Linked DNA regions of Kluyveromyces lactis. The protein of the gene in region 2 binds, or shares a complex with, the protein of the main gene of each other region. Links are inferred from orthologs where the notes say so. Each region holds a gene or a part of one and is shown on either strand. Other genes may lie near its edges.

Region 1 (6,279 bases), on a different chromosome or scaffold from region 2:
AACAAATAAAGTAAAAATGGTTGCCATTATCTCCAAGAAGAGAAAGCTTGTCGCTGACGGTGTTTTCTACGCCGAATTGAACGAATTCTTCACCAGAGAATTGGCTGAAGAAGGTTACTCTGGTGTCGAAGTCAGAGTTACTCCAACCAAGACCGAAATTATCATCAGAGCTACTAAGGTTCAAGATGTTGTTGGTGAAAATGGTAGAAGAATCAACGAATTGACCTTGTTGATTGAAAAGAGATTCAAGTACAAGCGTGGTACCATTGCTTTATACGCTGAAAGAGTCCATGACCGTGGTTTGTCCGCTGTTGCTCAAGCTGAATCCATGAAGTTCAAATTGTTGAACGGTTTGGCCATCAGAAGAGCTGCTTACGGTGTTGTCAGATACGTTATGGAATCTGGTGCCAAGGGTTGTGAAGTTGTCATCTCCGGTAAGTTGAGAGCTGCTAGAGCCAAGTCCATGAAGTTCGCTGACGGTTTCTTGATCCACTCCGGTCAACCAGTCAACGACTTCATTGAAACCGCTACCAGACACGTTTTGTTGAGACAAGGTGTTTTGGGTATTAAGGTTAAGATCATGAAGGACCCATCTAGAAACACCTCTGGTCCAAAGGCTTTGCCAGATGCTGTTACCATCATCGAACCAAAGGAAGAAGAACCAGTTTTGGAACCTTCTGTCAAGGATTACAGACCAACTGAACCAGTTGAAGCTGCTGAATCTGCTTAAATCAATTGATATCTGTTTGATTCTATATTATTAATTAGTCTATTAAATACCGTTCTTATATGTATAAATATTAAGAAACTCATCAATTCTTTTAAAAATAAGTAATCTATGCCCAGATGACATCGATTAAAACGTCCTGCTTTTATCAATGGATTTTTAAAATGATTTATCGATAGCGCCTTCCGATAATGCCTTTCCGCCTTTCAGTTCCTTTATCTTTCATACTAATCAAAAAAATTCGGTGGGCAAAAATCATGTAAATTATTAAAAAAAAAGAGAATATATAGTGCGTACTGAAAAAACCAATGGCTCAATTATAGATGAATTGTTAACCATTTAATACCACACGTAGGGTCTATACGTTCCATTTTTAAGAGAACGTAGGTATCGCTCACTAAACACATTGACTGAAAGTAAATATGGGCCTAACTTATAAGGATTTTTGTGCTGTAGGTACAGCATTGATCATTGGATCAACTACTTTTTTGATGGGGATCTTCTTTTCTAATCAACCATATGACTATAATATCCTATTCAATCCTGCTGCCACGCCGGAGCATTTTGAGAACGCTTTGAAACACTACCAGACTCTATTCTACACGGCCAAGCCAACCCTTTATATGCTTGGTGCGGTGGCCATTGTGGGAGTCATTGGTTCCTTGATTAGGGTATACAAGCCAAATCCAGATTTGCAATTATTTGAATACGGTTCATTGGCTTTGTACGTTTTGGGTATCTGTGTTTTCTTAACAAATATCAAGACCGGTGTTGAATCTGCGGTTTACCATAACTGGGGTGAAGTCTCTGAGGCGCAAGGTATTGCTGTTGTTGCCTCTTCCAATATCATTATTTTAATTGTCTTTGCTGGTGTCTTAGTGTTGCAAGGAGGTTTGTGGTACAGTACCTGGGAATATGAACAAAGATTAGATCAATGGAGGAAAGACCAATTGAAGGAATCTGCCGCTAACCAACAGAAGGCGGAGAAAACTACTGAACCAGCTAAAACGGAATCTAAGAAGAAGAAATAGACGAAATTTGTTTCCTTACAGTTTGATGCGGTGAAGTATTTCGCGTTGCTTTCACTATTTACAAGCTCTTGTTCTATATATTATATAAATGATATGAAATACTTGGCTATTCCGACATGGATAACTTGAGATGAAACCCAAAGACAATCTAAGGACCTTATTATTGATGATTTAATTGCTGTATATTATCTTCACCCATTATCATTGGAAATAAACGTAATATGATAATGTTTAATATCTCATTACCATTTGTAAACACCACCCATAGAACCTCTGATGGGTTTATCTGCTAATTGAACCCACGGTTTCTTCCTTTGTTCTTTTAGTTTGGCTTCGTGCTCTAGTCTTCTCTTCGTTACACTCTTGGTCTTCAATATGCATTTGATATGCACATATGGGTGTTCAATGAGACCACGTCTACCTCTACCCTTCCATTCGACACGTTTTTGCCAAAATCCATCACTGCCGGTCCATATCTGGGAGATGTATAGGTCATTGGCATCCAAGCCAAGCTTCACACCATCATTAATACCGCGCTCCAATAATTCGGCAACATCACGGGCAACCTTTTTATCGGAGAAATGACATTGAGTCAAAGCTTTCTTAGCGTCCAATCCGTTCAAAAGTCTAAGCAGCTGTGTGGCCTTCTTCATAGATGATTTTACTCTGTAAGATTTAACATAGACACTAGGTTCAAGCACTTCTAATTCTTCATTCGTTAATCTCAAAGAACGATCTTTAGGGCGCACGCTTTTGTCGTAAAACCCACCGTTCAACCTAACCTGTTGTTCATAGAATTCCTTCTTAACTCTTGGTAACAAAAATTCTGGTAAACTTTTGATCATGGGGTCTTGTTCTTCGATATATTTCTGTAATTGTGTATCATTGGCTGCTGTAACTTTCTTTTTAGCCTCTGCCAGCTGGGTAGCAGCATCCAAATCATCTGACAGTTCGGTAGCAGTAGTCAACTTATTAGATAGTTTATTTGGATCGTCATCCTTCAACGGATTCACTCCATCGGTGACTTCACCGAATAGCGAACCTTGTGCAGATTTTTGTAGCTGCAATGCTGAAGCTTGAAAACTTCTTACACCGGAAGCCTTTCCCAAGCCGAACAGGCTAGTTACTGTCCTCGATAGCATTAAATTTTATATAGGTTGAACTGATGACAGAGCCTGCAACTAACCATGTAATTTACACGTGCCTCTAGTATTATACTGTAGGCATTTTATTACTTTGATCAATCCTTCTTCTGTACAATGTTTGATTATCAAAATTTTTTTGTTCGATGGTTAGGAAATATAAATCATCGTGAACGGGCATGAAGATATAAGGAATGGTTCTACTGTGTGGAGGAAGATATTGAAGTCCGACTATCTTGACGGGTTGTAAGATCACAAATTAGAAAAGCGTTAGTGTGGAATTGCTAGGAATTAAACCTTAAATATGAACTATATAACTGAAGATGCACAAAGAAGTATATTGAATAGAAGGGAAAATTTAAGTACAAATTTGAAAACTTTGTAATTAGAGTTTGGTAAGATCAGTGTTCGATTAGTTCCGTTAAATATCCGTGAGCGTTCTGTGGGTTTTCATCGTAAGTAACTGACATTTCAGTGTCATGTGTACCCTCATCGGTGGAAGATGACACAAAGGATGAATGTAGTGATGTTGTGGAAGGCGTCTGAGACTCTGGATCTGCAATCGATACAACATATTCGTCGTCGAATGGATTTGTCGTCTGTGGCCTCCTGACAGAATCTGCAACATATGGAGGCACTGAGGGCAAACTTTTTGAAACTTTGTTATTATTATGAGCAGTCGTCGATACTCTGGTTGTAGTCTTGGTGGTTTGCTGAGACTGTGCAATAAACGTTCCGATATCGTCGTATCCCATTTTTCTCCCAATGTCGTGGGAGAAGCTCTTTTCGTGTTCGATAAGATTTCTCCTTCGTCTCTTCCTAAATAATAAATAGATCACCAGTATCATTAGCGCCAGACCTCCCACGCTTCCTATTACACCACCGATTATTGTATCTTTATTTGATCCAGACGATGTTGAGTTGGAATCCAATGCGCCAGATAGCCATCTTTCGTAAAAAGATGTGTCAGTCACAACTGGACCTGTAGGTGTAGTGAAAGTAGCCTCTGTGGGTATCACTGTAAGTGTCGGTAGTCCTTTAGTAAAGGTGGTTGAAGTGTCAGTAAAGATGAAATCTCGTGTGTAATAAACCACAGTTTCAGAAGACGGTACTTCAGTGGTCAACGTTAACCAAGTCGGTGTAGGCACAGTGGCAGTAGCTTCTGTACCCTCAACAGATGTGTATTCTTGGGTCGCGGTGTTCTCGGGATAAATTGTTTGCATTACTATGTTGCTCGGTCCTGAGCTCATCTCAAGTACCGTCACCATTGCCGTGTCTACATCTGTATGCGACGTTGAATCATCTGTTGACGGCGGTACCCAAACTGTAGATGGCGATACTATGCCAGGTGAATCCGAATCCGAATGTGATCTGTTTGGATATACCAGAACCGTCCTGGTCTTCATACCATGTGGCTGCTGCGTAGAATTTCCTGAGTCAGGGTTGATGTAATCCGTTCGTAAACTAGCAACGCTTTGTGAGAACGACTCCGAACTTTCTGTCAGTGTATCTGACGAAGAAACAACAGATGAATAATCAGTACCGTCAGTGGTAGTGTTGAACAACATCTTTAGGTGAACTGGCCAGTGAGATCCTGTTATAGATCTTGAAATTTAATAGTTTCCTTGGTACAACTGCTTTACGCTTGTAACGGTTTTTCGGTAAAAAAAATGATGTAGCAATCGACTTCACCCTTTCTCAAGCAACTAGCAACTTATGTATCGTCACCCACTACCTTATAAGTCCTGCCTTAGCGTCCCTTGATGGATGTATAGAGAAGTTGACGACGTTACCCTCGCCTATTTCTCCTTATGCAAGGCTTCTATTAGTAGACCTGCTTCAAGTTCTATATTTGTTTGCTGCTCTCGAATGCGTAAAAGAAAAAAAAAAAAGTCGTGCTCGCCGGTCGTGGAGAAGGATTCTCGAGACTGAGCGGTGAAGAAAAACAAGATGCAGCCTTCGACTTGCAGCAGAAGGATGATAACAGAGAACCTCAGTCCCATACGTCCTTCTATACTTTATTTTTGATAAGTATATATTCCTATGAGAGAATATAAATATGGGTATATGATCTATTTCGAACTAATATACAAGATTTTGATATATTTCATGTTTTCTTGACGCACATTAAAAAGTTGTCTTCTTACCTTGCGATGGCACAATGGCTGCAGATCCTCTTTGAGCAGAAGCCAATGCAACACTACTTTTCAAACGATTGTTAGAATCCTTGTGAGATGGTTGTCTATTGGAATAGGATGGTGCACGTCTTTCCCTAATTGGTGGTGGTGCTGCTGATGATGACGGTTGAGTCGTCTTTATGTCAAATGATGGCTTCCTTGGTTCCCTGGCATCTAACTCAGGTCTCCTTCTCACTTGTCTCTTTGATCTATCTTCACCGTATTCCATTCTAATAGGTCTGCTTGCAATCTTTCTACAACTTTTATCTTTAAGCGCATTGGTAGCACCTGTTTCGTCCTTAAAATCGATAAATGCAAACCCTTTACACTTACCAGTGTCTTCGAAAGTAGCCATTCTTATCCTCATAATTTCACCACAGTGTTGGAAGTGCTTCCTCAGTAGGTCTTCGGTAGTATCAAACGACAAATTACCAACAAATAGAATTCTGGATGGTGGGTTCTTTGATGCAGCTACTAGATCATTCTTATCTGGTCTTCCTTCATAACTGCCAGCGTTCTTGATGAGCAAGTTTCTTCCGTTTAGTGCACTTTCACTCAAACCAACTACAGCTTCCATTTGCTTCTCAGTTTTAAAATCAATGTAAGCAAAACCTTTATTTCTGAGTTTCTTGTTGTCATTCTTGGTCAATGGCATGTTTATTCTAACAATATCTTTCTCGGTAATAGCACCTCCTTCGTCATTCTCCTTTGTCTTTGCAACTATAAACCTAATTATATCTTCTTTCACGGTATCAAAAGCCATATTTCCAACCCAAACACCGAACTTCTTCTCCTTATTAGGTTTGGAAGTTATTTTTTCCTCCTCGACGTTGGTCTCCTCTGATGAACCTTCTTTTTTATTGGATGTATCTTCATTATCCTGTTTCTCGGCGGTTTCTTTCTTGTACTCTTCGATAGATTTCGAGTCAATGTTGTATTTAGCGTTTAATTCTTCAATTGTAACCTTACCTCTTCTCAATAAACGTTTCTGCTTTTTAGATAAAGGCACGGATTGGTTTAAATCAATTTCAATCTCATCTTCAGCCTTTCTCTTCTTGGTGGGGTCCTTTAAGACTTGACTTACAGCATCATCCACTTTTTTAACCTCTTTGCTGGAATCCGACATGTCGATTACTTTCGCTTATCTGAGTTCTTGTTCAACAATCTCAGTAGAAATGAAGGATCTACTTTGTAAAGGAGTC
Region 2 (5,472 bases):
TATATTCCTCACCAAGTTCGATTGTTATGCTTTCATTATCAGAATCCAGTTCTAGATTGTGCTTGTGATTGTTATACCTGGTAGGGGAAACGAGATCTTCATCTGTAGCAGCTAAACTTATAAGTTCTGGATCTCTTTCTTCTGTATCAAACGTTATTGATTCAACCTGGAATGGAGATCTATGATGCTGAAGTTTCTCGATGGATTCCTTATCAAAGGGGTCGTACCCATTAGGTATATACGGTAGTTCTTTTTGTCTCTTGGGTGCATACTCAATGTTTAGTTCATCTTCTTTCTCTCTGATAAGGGCTTTTAATCCGTTGCCAAACCCAAGGTTTAACGATTTTCCGCTGGGAAATATGGGTAAATCATCCTCCTCATCCTCCTCATCTTCGTCGTCATTCTTTTCATTTAGCTCTGTATCTTTCAGCACCAATGACTTCGTTCGTGGCATAAAAGTGTTCATCCCCAGGACACTTCCGTATTTCTTCAGTTTATTTTCAGGCATATTCTTCATAAAGCTACTGGCGGGCCTTTTTAAAGGGTGATCACTCTTTCCCAACGCAGCATTATTCTTCACACTTAGTATAGATTGCGTCCTGTTATTATCTTTGCTAGCTAGTGGGCGTCTGTTGCCCCGTACTAATGAGTCCGTCCGCTTCATCTGGTTTAGAGGGGTCCTCAGACCCAAATCATTGTCAGGATCTTGGACGGATATGATATTCTCCTTCCCTTCGTTCGGCATAGCTATTTGAATCTGTATATAGCCAATATCTCTTCTAGTCTGACTTCACGCTAGCTTAACAGACAAAATTGGAATATCTTACCGTTGATTGCTCGGCTTTGAACGACCTTGAGCTCTTACTGTTTGTAAATTTTGAGACAGTTTTTGTTATGTTTGTATATTTGTGTTGTTGTTTTTGATCGAATTTGGTGAATCAAACTGAGTATATGTGGTGTATGGATGTTACGGTGATACTGGATACATCTTCATTGCTTAGTACTCATGAAAATACTCCAAAAGAATCCGGAATGTCGCGATGCTTTGAGACTATGCCCACGTCAACAAGGAGCAGTAGCAGTGCCTACTACAAAATGTGAGTTTGTGTCGCTGTTCTTCCTGGTTTCGTTTCGTGTCTGGCTTTCCAAATTGCAATATGGAATAGTAAGTAGGTACGAAAATTTTCTAGCCTAGAGCACACACATGACGATCTTCATACAGAGAACAGGCTCGGAAGAGGTTCTGTATTAATCTAAAGACGAAGGTTATTACTGTTTAAAATAGGTCATAATCGAATGGACATACTGTGAAGTATTGTGCGTATTTTTTTGACAACAGTTTTGGAGGTTGACGATGAAGGCTAGTCTTCTGAGAACTTCGAAATTATACAAGGGTCTTCATTCAATAACTAAAGACGCCATTTCGAAGGTGGACACTTTCCCCAAGAATAAGCAACATGAAACGCTACATCGGTTAAACTCTTTCAATGAGAATCCAACACGCAAGACCTTGGAGAAATTAGTCTATTCTGTTCATTTCCATTTGTTGAACGATCCTCCTAAACACGTAGACATATTGAGACAATACCCTAATGAGTTGGCAAAATTTTGGCCCTATGAAATGCAGCACTCGATTTTAGAAATGGATGACCCAAATCTAACATCTCAAACGATTTTATGGTCTCGTAACAATAAGGATGCTTTGGATTTCTTGAGCTTCAATCGTCATAAGTGGCTGCGGCCGAAAAACTGGCAGACTCCGAATGAGGAACTTATAAAAGATATCACAGGAATTGACGGTCTTCAATCAACTCAAATTACAGAAGTATTAAGACTCCCTGCAGAAAAGATAAAGGAGACACTACGGCAAATTTTCGAGCATTACTATTTCTTGAAGACAAATCCGAAACTATGCGCTACAAAAAAACTCCAGGCACCAATCGTTGAGATCGGAATGAAACCTGATGGTTTCGATATAGCCGACATCAGGATCGATAACTTGTTTAAGAAAAAGGTCAAGCTAATTAGTGACCTGCTCTACTCGCAAAATCCGGTGCTGACTTCAGATGCAGAGTCTATATTAACGTCAATAGTTAACGACCCAGATCTCAATAGGCGAACGAAAAGATTGTATAAAAATGTTGCCAGCAGATCTTACCTTTTCAAAGATGGGAAGTTCGAAATAAGTGAACTTGCTAGAGGCGGATTTGTCCTGTCGAAGGAAAATTTGAGCGAGAACTTAGCTGCTGCCCTTGAGGAAGAACATAATTGACTTATGAACACACATCACGTGATATATAATTTACCTACAGCTACCATTTTAGCTCAATGTAAATAGAAAACACTTTAATAATAATGTTAGCCAGGAAATGAAACCGCCAATACACTTATTGTAACAGACTAGTCTAAGACCGATTTGAAGTTTCAGCGGTTTGCTAGAAGCCAAGTTTGTTCGCTTCCACAGATGCTTTCACTATTTCCAACATCCATCGATATTTTCATACATTTACATTAGTCTCGAGAAAGAAAAAATTTGAATTCAAAGAAATCAAACGAAGAGAAACCAGGACATATTTCTTGAAGACGAAGTCTCCTAAAAGTAGTCGCCCGAACTACTCATTAGTTATCGATAAGGATTTAATTCGAAGTGAAGAACAATTAAAATAAAATCTCATCCAGTCGTTATGAGTTTTATAACAAGAAATCTTCTTCAGTGGACCTCAAAACGTACATTAACCAGTTTCTCTAGTTTCTCACCTTTAAGAACACTAGACTCACGTCTTCATAGACCTTTGGCGCAAGTCAATCCAATGGAAATCACTTTACAATCTCAAACACAAGCAAATGGCTCATCAATATTTGGTATGTTGTTCGATTTGACTCAGAGAAGATGGAAAAGTAGAGGTAACACTTTCCAACCGAGTACTTTAAAGAGAAAGAGAAGAGTGGGGTTCCTAGCAAGGGCAAGATCTAGAAGTGGACAACAGATACTTAAAAGAAGAAAGAATAAAGGCAGATGGTATTTGACTTATTAGTTCTGTTCAACTTTCCAATCAAACCAGGAACGTTATGGAAGCGCCTGATTATAAAGAATGGCTGAATCTCCTGTATATATATCCACATCGTCATTATGTATTTTAAGAAAACGGAACAGTTTTGATTTTAGCTTTGCCATCAGAAAGCTGGCATGACATTAAGATGATTCTATCGGATAGGTTTATAGTTATCAATTGCAGAAGGAATCTTTTTTCTATTAACGATTTCTATGTACATGGGCATTATTTCTGAAGTAAGTTTCATTCTATCTTGACAAGGACAACAATTCCAGTTATTGTTCATAAAAATTGGGTTGCTTTATTAAGCAAAGTCAATCACAATACCAGGACCGTGTGTACTTGTCAGCGTAGTTTGGGACAATATGCTTGGTTTTTTCGTTTGTTGATTGGTGATAGATTGTTTGAAAGCCTTCTGTGTTGCCAACAAGTTCTCTAGAACTTCCTTGTCAGTGAAATGGGTCTTGGCAACACCTAAACTAATACTGTTACCACGTTGTCTGAATGGAACAGAGCTCATACTATCTTTAATCAATGGCTCAAGATCTTCGGCGACGGTTCCCTTCTTGGCAGTTGGCAGTAAACCACGAGGACCCAAAATTCTACCAACTTGAGAAGCAAGTTGTGGAACAATATCTGGAGTTGCAAAAGCCTTGTCAAAGTCGATACTGACTTCACCAGCCTTGATTTGACTTACTAAATCTGAACCGCCGACTAAATGAACACTGTATTTATCTTTCATCAAAGCCGCTTGTGCCTCGTCATTAGTGAAGACAGCAACTTTCACATCTTTAAGAGGTTTGCCGAAGGAAACATTACCTGTAAGAGGGGGGACACCTCTTTCTGCTACCACCAATGTAGTTAACGTGATGGTTTGTTGGCTTGCTGGTTGCCCGACTTCGATTGCACGTAAGTATCTTAGTGCTCTAGAAACTGGCATATACAGTGGATGGTCACTGGCCGGAGTTTTTGCTTGCAATCTTCTTTGAACCATTTTTCTTAGCTCCCTCTTTCTAAGTTGCTCTTTAGTCAACTTAGTACCCGTTTCTTCCGCTAGACGGAAGGACGTTATCTGGAACTGCCTGGTGAATATTCTTGGAAACATCTTGCCGACCCTATTAGCCTCTAAGTAGCGAAATTGGAAAAAATCTCAGGTTATTCAGAGACACAAGTCTTTGAAGTTTTTACGTGAAATAGTTGAAAATTGATTGTATCCTCTCCAAAGGGTAATATAACGTCAACTCGTTGTTCTCATCGTTCTTGTTAACGCTTCCAAGATTTTAATCCAACTAATCATTATACTAAAGCTGAAAAAATTTTGATACATCGACAAATCCGGGTAATATGTAATTGGTATACTGTTTATGTAGGTGAATAAGACGAGGAAGAAGATGAGTTATCTATGATATACAAGGCCCTGGAAAGACCACAAAGAGCAGTTTCACATAATGCCTATCTGCATAAGTGTACCTTACAGCTTCTTCTTTTGTTTTGGTTTGACTTTATTTTCAAACGAAATCCATTTAGTAGGAATACCGTAGTCATTCAAAATAGAGATTACGATTGAACCGTGTGGACCCTGAACCTGGACTTCAGCAGTTTTCGTCGATTTAGACTCACCAATGGTGGTGGATCCGCTGCACTTCTTTCTTAATGCAGCAGCTAATTCTTCAGAGTCAATTTTAAACTTTTCAAAATTAGTGACTCTTGTGATGACCTTCCTACCAATTTTCTTCTCCGTGACAATTTCAAGAGTTGGGATGGGTCCCTTCTCTGGTACTTTGAGAAGCGGTTCACCATTAGGCTTGTAGATTTGGTGGTAGGTGTTGAAGTTTTTTGAGAGGAAAGTGGGCGAAACTATTAGCCCTCTTGCAATTTTCTGTATTCCACCATTTTGGGGAGCTCTGTTAGACATTTGATAAAGCGTATCATCATATTTGACAAGAGATTTGTTCTCCGGATCTATTAGATTGTTATTGGCGACATACAAATCTAGAAGCTTTTTTAACTCTTGTTGAGTGTAGTAACTCTGTGGGACATCGGCGGTTATTCCGGTAATGAATCTTTGGCATGCGCTCATTGGTTTATAAAGATTTTCACCAGAATATGCTGTTATCTTGTTTTTATTTGATTGGTTTGTAGTATCACCTGAGGATTTCTTAGCAATAGTTGCCAAGGTCTTGTAGGCTTCCATGTTTGTTAAATCCTTATGATTCTTGTTTAGCGAGATAACGGTGCAACTGTCATTCTTGCCCTTTAGCTTCAAGAATCCTTCGTCTTCCAAATATTTAAGGAGTTTAGTTGCCTTCTTCCAGGAAGACTTCTTGATATTCACCATATTGGTATCAACATCGGGCAAGTTCTTCATTACATGGTTAGAAATGAAGGTAGACGCGACAATAGGCAATGTGATCTTGTC
Region 3 (5,873 bases), on a different chromosome or scaffold from region 2:
AATCAAATCCAATTCTTTCACAGAATGTGAAATGATAGCAACTTGCAATGGCCTCGATTTGTCCTTACGATTCAATAAAAGATCAACCATTAGATTTAACTTGCCAAATTTATCGCTGGTGTATATCAACCTTTCAGTTGGTTCCATTAACAAAAACTGTCTAGGCATATAATGCTCAACTAACAGGCAAGGGTGATTCGAGACAGCTCTTATATTTTCGAAGAACCATTCAGTTAACTGAACATCTGTTAATGCAGTCATACTCAAGTCTCTTTTGAGATTTGTCCCTTTTTTTTCTAATTTAGATTGTAGTTCTGGCAGTAGACGTTTATCTACACATGAGACAAACGACTCTGCATGTATCGAGATTAAAATTTCCAACAAATCTTTCTGAACTTGAGTTAGGCCAACAGGTATATAAAATACCTGAGTCCGGTTGGAAGTGGAGTTCATCTTTCTTTCCCTAATGAAACGACCCAATGGCTCGCGCTTGCAGTTTCTCTTTCTTTTCCTCTGGACTCTGGCTTTTAATGTGCTATTCGGAAAGAATGGTTAGATTTAATTATATAGTATCTTTTAAAAAATGAAATATGTCATTTTTGAAAAGCGACAGATGGAGAAACCAAGGAATACGTACATAGTATCTTTTCCTGCCATACAATTGTTATTCAAAGGGGGAGCGATAGATTCGAAGGTTGCGACAGTAAATGGGGAACTATTCTAACCTTTTGGTTTTGGTTATATATATATAGAGTTCATGATATCTGTTGAGAGGTAAAATGAATGATTACATACTTTTCATGCAGTACTTTTTGATTTAAACAGTGCCATGTATTTATCAAGCGTGAGGTCATCAGAATGCAAAGAATGTTCTGCAGTTAAGCCTAGTCGTGCAATTACAAATCTATCCTGACTAGCACCTGGCTTGGTTTCTCGATACCAAGGCTTTGGAAATCGACTTCCATCGTGGTATATGGTATCAGCAGCTGCCTTCAAACTGTCAACTCTGCTATCTCCTACTGAAGTATCTCGTACCACAAGGACGTTACCACCATCTACCAATAAAGGTTCGGCATAATTAAGGATGTCAGTTGTATTTTGAATAAGCCCTGTGGTCGAATACACTTGGGGTCTAACCATCTTGAATATATGACTTAAAGGGGAATTCAGAATTGTCCAATGGTAGACGATCCACTCGTCAGGCGATGTATTTCTCTTCCTTAAGAGAGTTGATCTTTGCATAAAGTACGTTACTTCTTGTAAGGATTTAATGCCAGGAACATCGATGGCATTCAATGATTTAAGAAGTTTTACTATTTCTAACGTCCACCACCTTAGATCGTAATCATAAAACTTGCCTTGAAACAAGACAGCGAAAGATATTTTTTTCATTATGGATCCAGCCATTATATCCCAGTGGAAATTTTGGGTTAAAAGATGTTCACCTGGTAAGGTTGTACTGGGAATAAATTTCGTTTCTACAGAAACGTATTCTTGATTCAAGTGTTTATAGTAGCATTCCATTTGAAAGGAAAATTTATCTGGCATTTCTTGCAAGGCTTCAGCAGCGCTGCGAGATGTATCAACAGATAAACTTATCAAAATTGATGGTAGATTACTACTTGGCCCTTTGTAACGGAAGGTTCCAGACCCTCCAAAGCCCTTTGGAGTGTCAGATACATGTGTGTCCTTGTCTTTCAAGGATGAGACTGGACCAAAGATCCCATTCAGTAATAGCTTGTTAGAAGTTTTGATAACAATTCTGGTTATTTCATAACATCCTTTCCCTTGAATATACGCCTGCCAATCATATATGAAATTTCTATCATTGAAGGATTCGTATTGAATAAAGTTGTTCAAACAGGATCTCATCTCCCATATTCCGACCTGATCCATGGATGCGACGAATACCGTGCATGGAGCAAACTTTAAGGACTTACTCATTTTATTGTAAAATTCTCTAGAAGGTTTCCAATATTTCACATCCTTGTCTTCCTCTATATTTCTATGCTGCCTGATATGATTTTTTCGGTCCATTGAGATAACCTTACCTGGTGCTACTGTACAGGGTCCGAAAACAAATGCAATGGATTGTGATGGGTTTAGACATTGTGCTAGAAAAATAGCGAGTGCAGTGTTTCTTCTACATCTTTTTTTTGACCTAGTCCGTTGACATAGAAGTTCCGCGAGTTTAGCACCGAAAGATATTTGGTCCGTCCAAATCTTCCTCACTAAAAGCCCATACTTTGCAATGAACCATTCTGTGTCAAGCTTCTTAAGATGGCTGATACAACTACTAGATTCTGCATCTACGGTAATGTGTGACCCGTCAGTATGAATAGTGACAGACCCATCTTCAATCGTGATCAGGGCCAATGACTGGACAGAACCAAATTGTAACATCTTCAACGCGTCTAGATTTTCCTCAAATTCACAATTAAGATCGATGATTATGGCGAACTTGGAATGCGTAGGCACAGCAGCAGTTCCTAAATGTTTTAGGTATGACGATGATAATGGAATATTCCCTAGTTCATTATAAGCATTACAAAAAGAACAAAACCACCCAGCTCGTGAATCTCTTGAACATAAAAAATTCGCAAACCCTCCACAGATTTTACAATTGGTATAATTCTCACTGCTTGCTAGGCTTGAATTCCCGTCAATTGTCAAGTCCGGCTCACAAATGGCACTTATCGATCCACGGTTATCATCTCCACAATCGAGAACTCTAGCTAAGCAATCTGTCCGGGACGTAGGAACGGCTCCATAATTCAATTCAAACATCAAGTTCTAGATGGTGGAATATGCGGACACTTGACGGATGAAGGTGATAACTCTACTGTGCGTGTCTGCTGATAGGAAAACCTTTCTCTGGAGATGAGATCCAAGATAAGATAGAGCAGGTAGCGGAGAATTCAATATCATCACAAGATCCGGGTAATGTATATATTAGGTTCATTCTCTTTAATTTTCAGTGTTTCTACGAAGTTGTTTATGGCATCTGAAAAAGCTGAAAAATTTTGAAAAAGAGAAAGCTGATAGTTAGTTTAGCTTGATTACAGAAGAGATCACCACATTTGTGCACACATTGTATTTAAATAACTCTTCAGAAGTCCATCAATAGCACTGGAGATAGAAGAGAACTCTGAGGATCAAGGCTTTTGTTGTTAACAAATAAGGCTTGAAGACACCATAGGGCACTAGGAAGAGATGAGCAAGCATTTAGCTATTACCAAGTTCCGTCCAGCCAACTGGCTACAGAAAGCAGGGTATGCACCACAAGTCTTTTTATTCAGAAACCTAGAGAGTGGACAAGTGCTGTACTCTCAATTCCCGACTTTTTCTTGGAAGCAAATTGATACCAATTTCCAAAGACCCAACTGGGAGAATAAGAAACCAAGCACCAGACGTGATATTTGGAAATGTATGGCTGTTGTTGATCTACCAGACTACGACAAGAGTGTAAAAGTATACCAGAATTTGTGCAGATTAAGATATCTCCGTGATGTGACATTCAGTAAACAGGCAAAAGACATGAGAAAGAAGAATGAGTCCGGCCACACATGGTACTCATCGCAATACAGACCAACATACTCTCAAGAAGCGGTTGCCGATTTGCGAGAATGTCTCCTAAAGTTGAAAGACGTCCAATCGTCCATTAAGGTCCATTGGGAAGACGAATGGAGAATGGGGGATAAAGAGAAATACTGGAACCCAGTATTGCCAGAGTTGAATCACACAACACTAGAACGTTTGGGGAACGTTTCCAGAGAGGAAAGTGCAATTTTGAAAGAACTAGGCGAAAGAGCCAAAGAAGAGTTCGCAAGAGTGAGACAACAGGAGTCAGCTGCTCAAAACATCTCTCTATGAGTTACAAAAGAAAACAAGCAAATACAAACTATTTCCAGTTGCAAAAGCTGAGCCGAGCTCAGATCTTTCACTGCTTCACTCGTCACGTCTTTAAGAAATCACTACATGTACATATATAACCCGCAGACAATCCGACTCTGTAAATAATATAAACAAACCCTCAGCTCACTACCGGCGTTTAACTGATTTGACAAGGTGATTACTAGCAGTTTTCTCCCTTGTTTCCATCATCACGTAACCTAAATATCAAAGGTTCTGTAATCATCATATTACTTCCTCTACTTTTCTACCGCTTCATACCATATGTGTCTCATGCATGCATTAACGCCTAACGGAAGAAGAAGCAGGAACCCGGACACCAAAGAAAAAGCAAAAAAAATGTCACATGACCAAATTTGAGAAACCTTAACACCGTTTCTCTGGTTTTCTCTGGTGTTTCTTTAACGACAATCCTGTTTTCCCTTAGAGGCTTCGGGTTTTTCTTAGTTTTTCTAGCATAACATGGTGTCGAGAATACAGAATTGCGTTATAAATGTATTGCGTTATAAGATCAGTGGTTGTATTTATACGAAGCGTATAGGCTAATGTTGGCATACCAAGCGAAGAAGGCTGCAATAATATTGAAAGGGTAAGGCTTGAGATTAGGTAAAAAGTTATTCTGGAGTTACTGTTTCTTTTTTTTTGATCATACTGAAGAGAGACAGCAACTATATAAAATACGAAGCAAGATACGAAATCAGATACACAAACTGATATTTGCAGTGTCATACAAAACTTATAAGTCCATTTATACTTGAGAGGAGCTGTTTTCTGTCGGATACAGTTCGAGGATAAGGAGATACAATATTTTGCGTGTGCTGTATCGGTTTTATAACTATGGCAAATATTGTTGAAAGTGCAGTGCAGCACTTGTATTTGCAGGTGAAAGATGCTATGGATGTGTCGTTTATGAATTCTAAAGCTCCACCTGCTTCTGTGATAACGAAGAAACAGGATATTTTGCCTTGGATTTCTGATGGGAAACTTGCCTTAGCACTACCTGTTGTTGCTTATTGGCTTTATTCGATGTTTTTCCATTACATTGATACCAATGAGGTTTTCGAACAGTACAGGATTCATCCAAGCGAGGAAGTACAACAGCGGAATAAGGCCTCAAGATTAGAGGTTTTAAAAGAGGTGATATTACAACATTTCATTCAAACATTTACTGGACTTGGTATGCTCTACTTGGATCCTGTGCCGACTTCAGGGTTTGAGAAGTATGAGATGTGGAAATGGAGGCAATCTTTACCCTTTTTCGTACCATCTGTTTTCATCAAGTTTATGTATTGCTATGGATGGTCTATGATAAGGATATTTATTGGGTTTTGTATCGTAGATTCGTGGCAGTATTGGCTGCATAGGGTGATGCATATGAATAAGACACTTTACAAAAAATTCCACTCACGTCATCATAGGTTATATGTTCCTTATGCGTACGGTGCATTGTACAATTCCCCAGTGGAAGGTTTCCTCCTTGACACTTTGGGTACAGGCATTGCTGCAATCGTGACACAATTAAATCATACAGAACAAGTTGTTCTATACACTTTTGCTACTTTGAAAACAGTGGACGATCATTGCGGATATGCTTTGCCCCTGGACCCATTCCAGTGGTTGTTTTCAAATAATGCAGTGTATCACGACATTCACCATCAGTCTTTTGGTATCAAGTCCAATTTTTCTCAACCATTCTTTACCATATGGGATAAGTTTTGTGACACCAAGTATCATGGATTTGAAGAGTATGAGAAAAAACAAAGACGTGTCACCATTGACAAGTACAAGGAGTTTTTGAACAAAAGAAAACTCGAACACCAGGCCAAGTTAAAAGCTATGAAAGAGAAGATGTCATAGTTTTCTTATCTTCTGCATATATCCTACATCAATGTTTCACTTCCAATTGTTTTTTTTTAACGTTTCATTGTTATCTCTTTTCTCCTAGAAAAAGGATCAATCAC

The links. The genes of interacting proteins can lie anywhere in the genome.
Region 1: MRX14 (region 2) and MRPL22 share a complex: the UniProt entries of both Saccharomyces cerevisiae proteins name them as parts of the mitochondrial large ribosomal subunit. The link is inferred for Kluyveromyces lactis from reciprocal best matches to the Saccharomyces cerevisiae genes MRX14 and MRPL22.
Region 3: MRX14 (region 2) and MHR1 share a complex: the UniProt entries of both Saccharomyces cerevisiae proteins name them as parts of the mitochondrial large ribosomal subunit. The link is inferred for Kluyveromyces lactis from reciprocal best matches to the Saccharomyces cerevisiae genes MRX14 and MHR1.

Annotation. Positions count from the first base shown.
Region 1 is NC_006040.1:700,076-706,354, reverse strand, and holds MRPL22 (mitochondrial 54S ribosomal protein uL22m), read right to left. Parts: upstream 2,901-6,279; coding exon 2,001-2,900; downstream 1-2,000. Other genes in the region: RPS3 (40S ribosomal protein uS3), read left to right, coding at 17-730; SHR3 (Shr3p), read left to right, coding at 1,150-1,758; TDA7 (Tda7p), read right to left, coding at 3,302-4,468; NOP13 (Nop13p), read right to left, coding at 5,028-6,203. UniProt on the Saccharomyces cerevisiae protein: Component of the mitochondrial ribosome (mitoribosome), a dedicated translation machinery responsible for the synthesis of mitochondrial genome-encoded proteins, including at least some of the essential transmembrane subunits of the mitochondrial respiratory chain.
Region 2 is NC_006042.1:1,780,140-1,785,611, forward strand, and holds MRX14 (mitochondrial 54S ribosomal protein bL34m), read left to right. Parts: upstream 1-2,684; coding exon 2,685-3,035; downstream 3,036-5,472. Other genes in the region: PDS1 (securin), read right to left, coding at 1-745; GEP5 (Gep5p), read left to right, coding at 1,355-2,272; MRPL1 (mitochondrial 54S ribosomal protein uL1m), read right to left, coding at 3,358-4,158; TMA64 (Tma64p), read right to left, coding at 4,525-5,472. UniProt on the Saccharomyces cerevisiae protein: Component of the mitochondrial ribosome (mitoribosome), a dedicated translation machinery responsible for the synthesis of mitochondrial genome-encoded proteins, including at least some of the essential transmembrane subunits of the mitochondrial respiratory chain.
Region 3 is NC_006039.1:891,936-897,808, reverse strand, and holds MHR1 (mitochondrial 54S ribosomal protein mL67), read left to right. Parts: upstream 1-3,213; coding exon 3,214-3,873; downstream 3,874-5,873. Other genes in the region: HDA2 (Hda2p), read right to left, coding at 1-453; GTPase-activating protein NEL1, read right to left, coding at 799-2,787; SUR2 (sphingosine hydroxylase), read left to right, coding at 4,750-5,769. UniProt on the Saccharomyces cerevisiae protein: Component of the mitochondrial ribosome (mitoribosome), a dedicated translation machinery responsible for the synthesis of mitochondrial genome-encoded proteins, including at least some of the essential transmembrane subunits of the mitochondrial respiratory chain.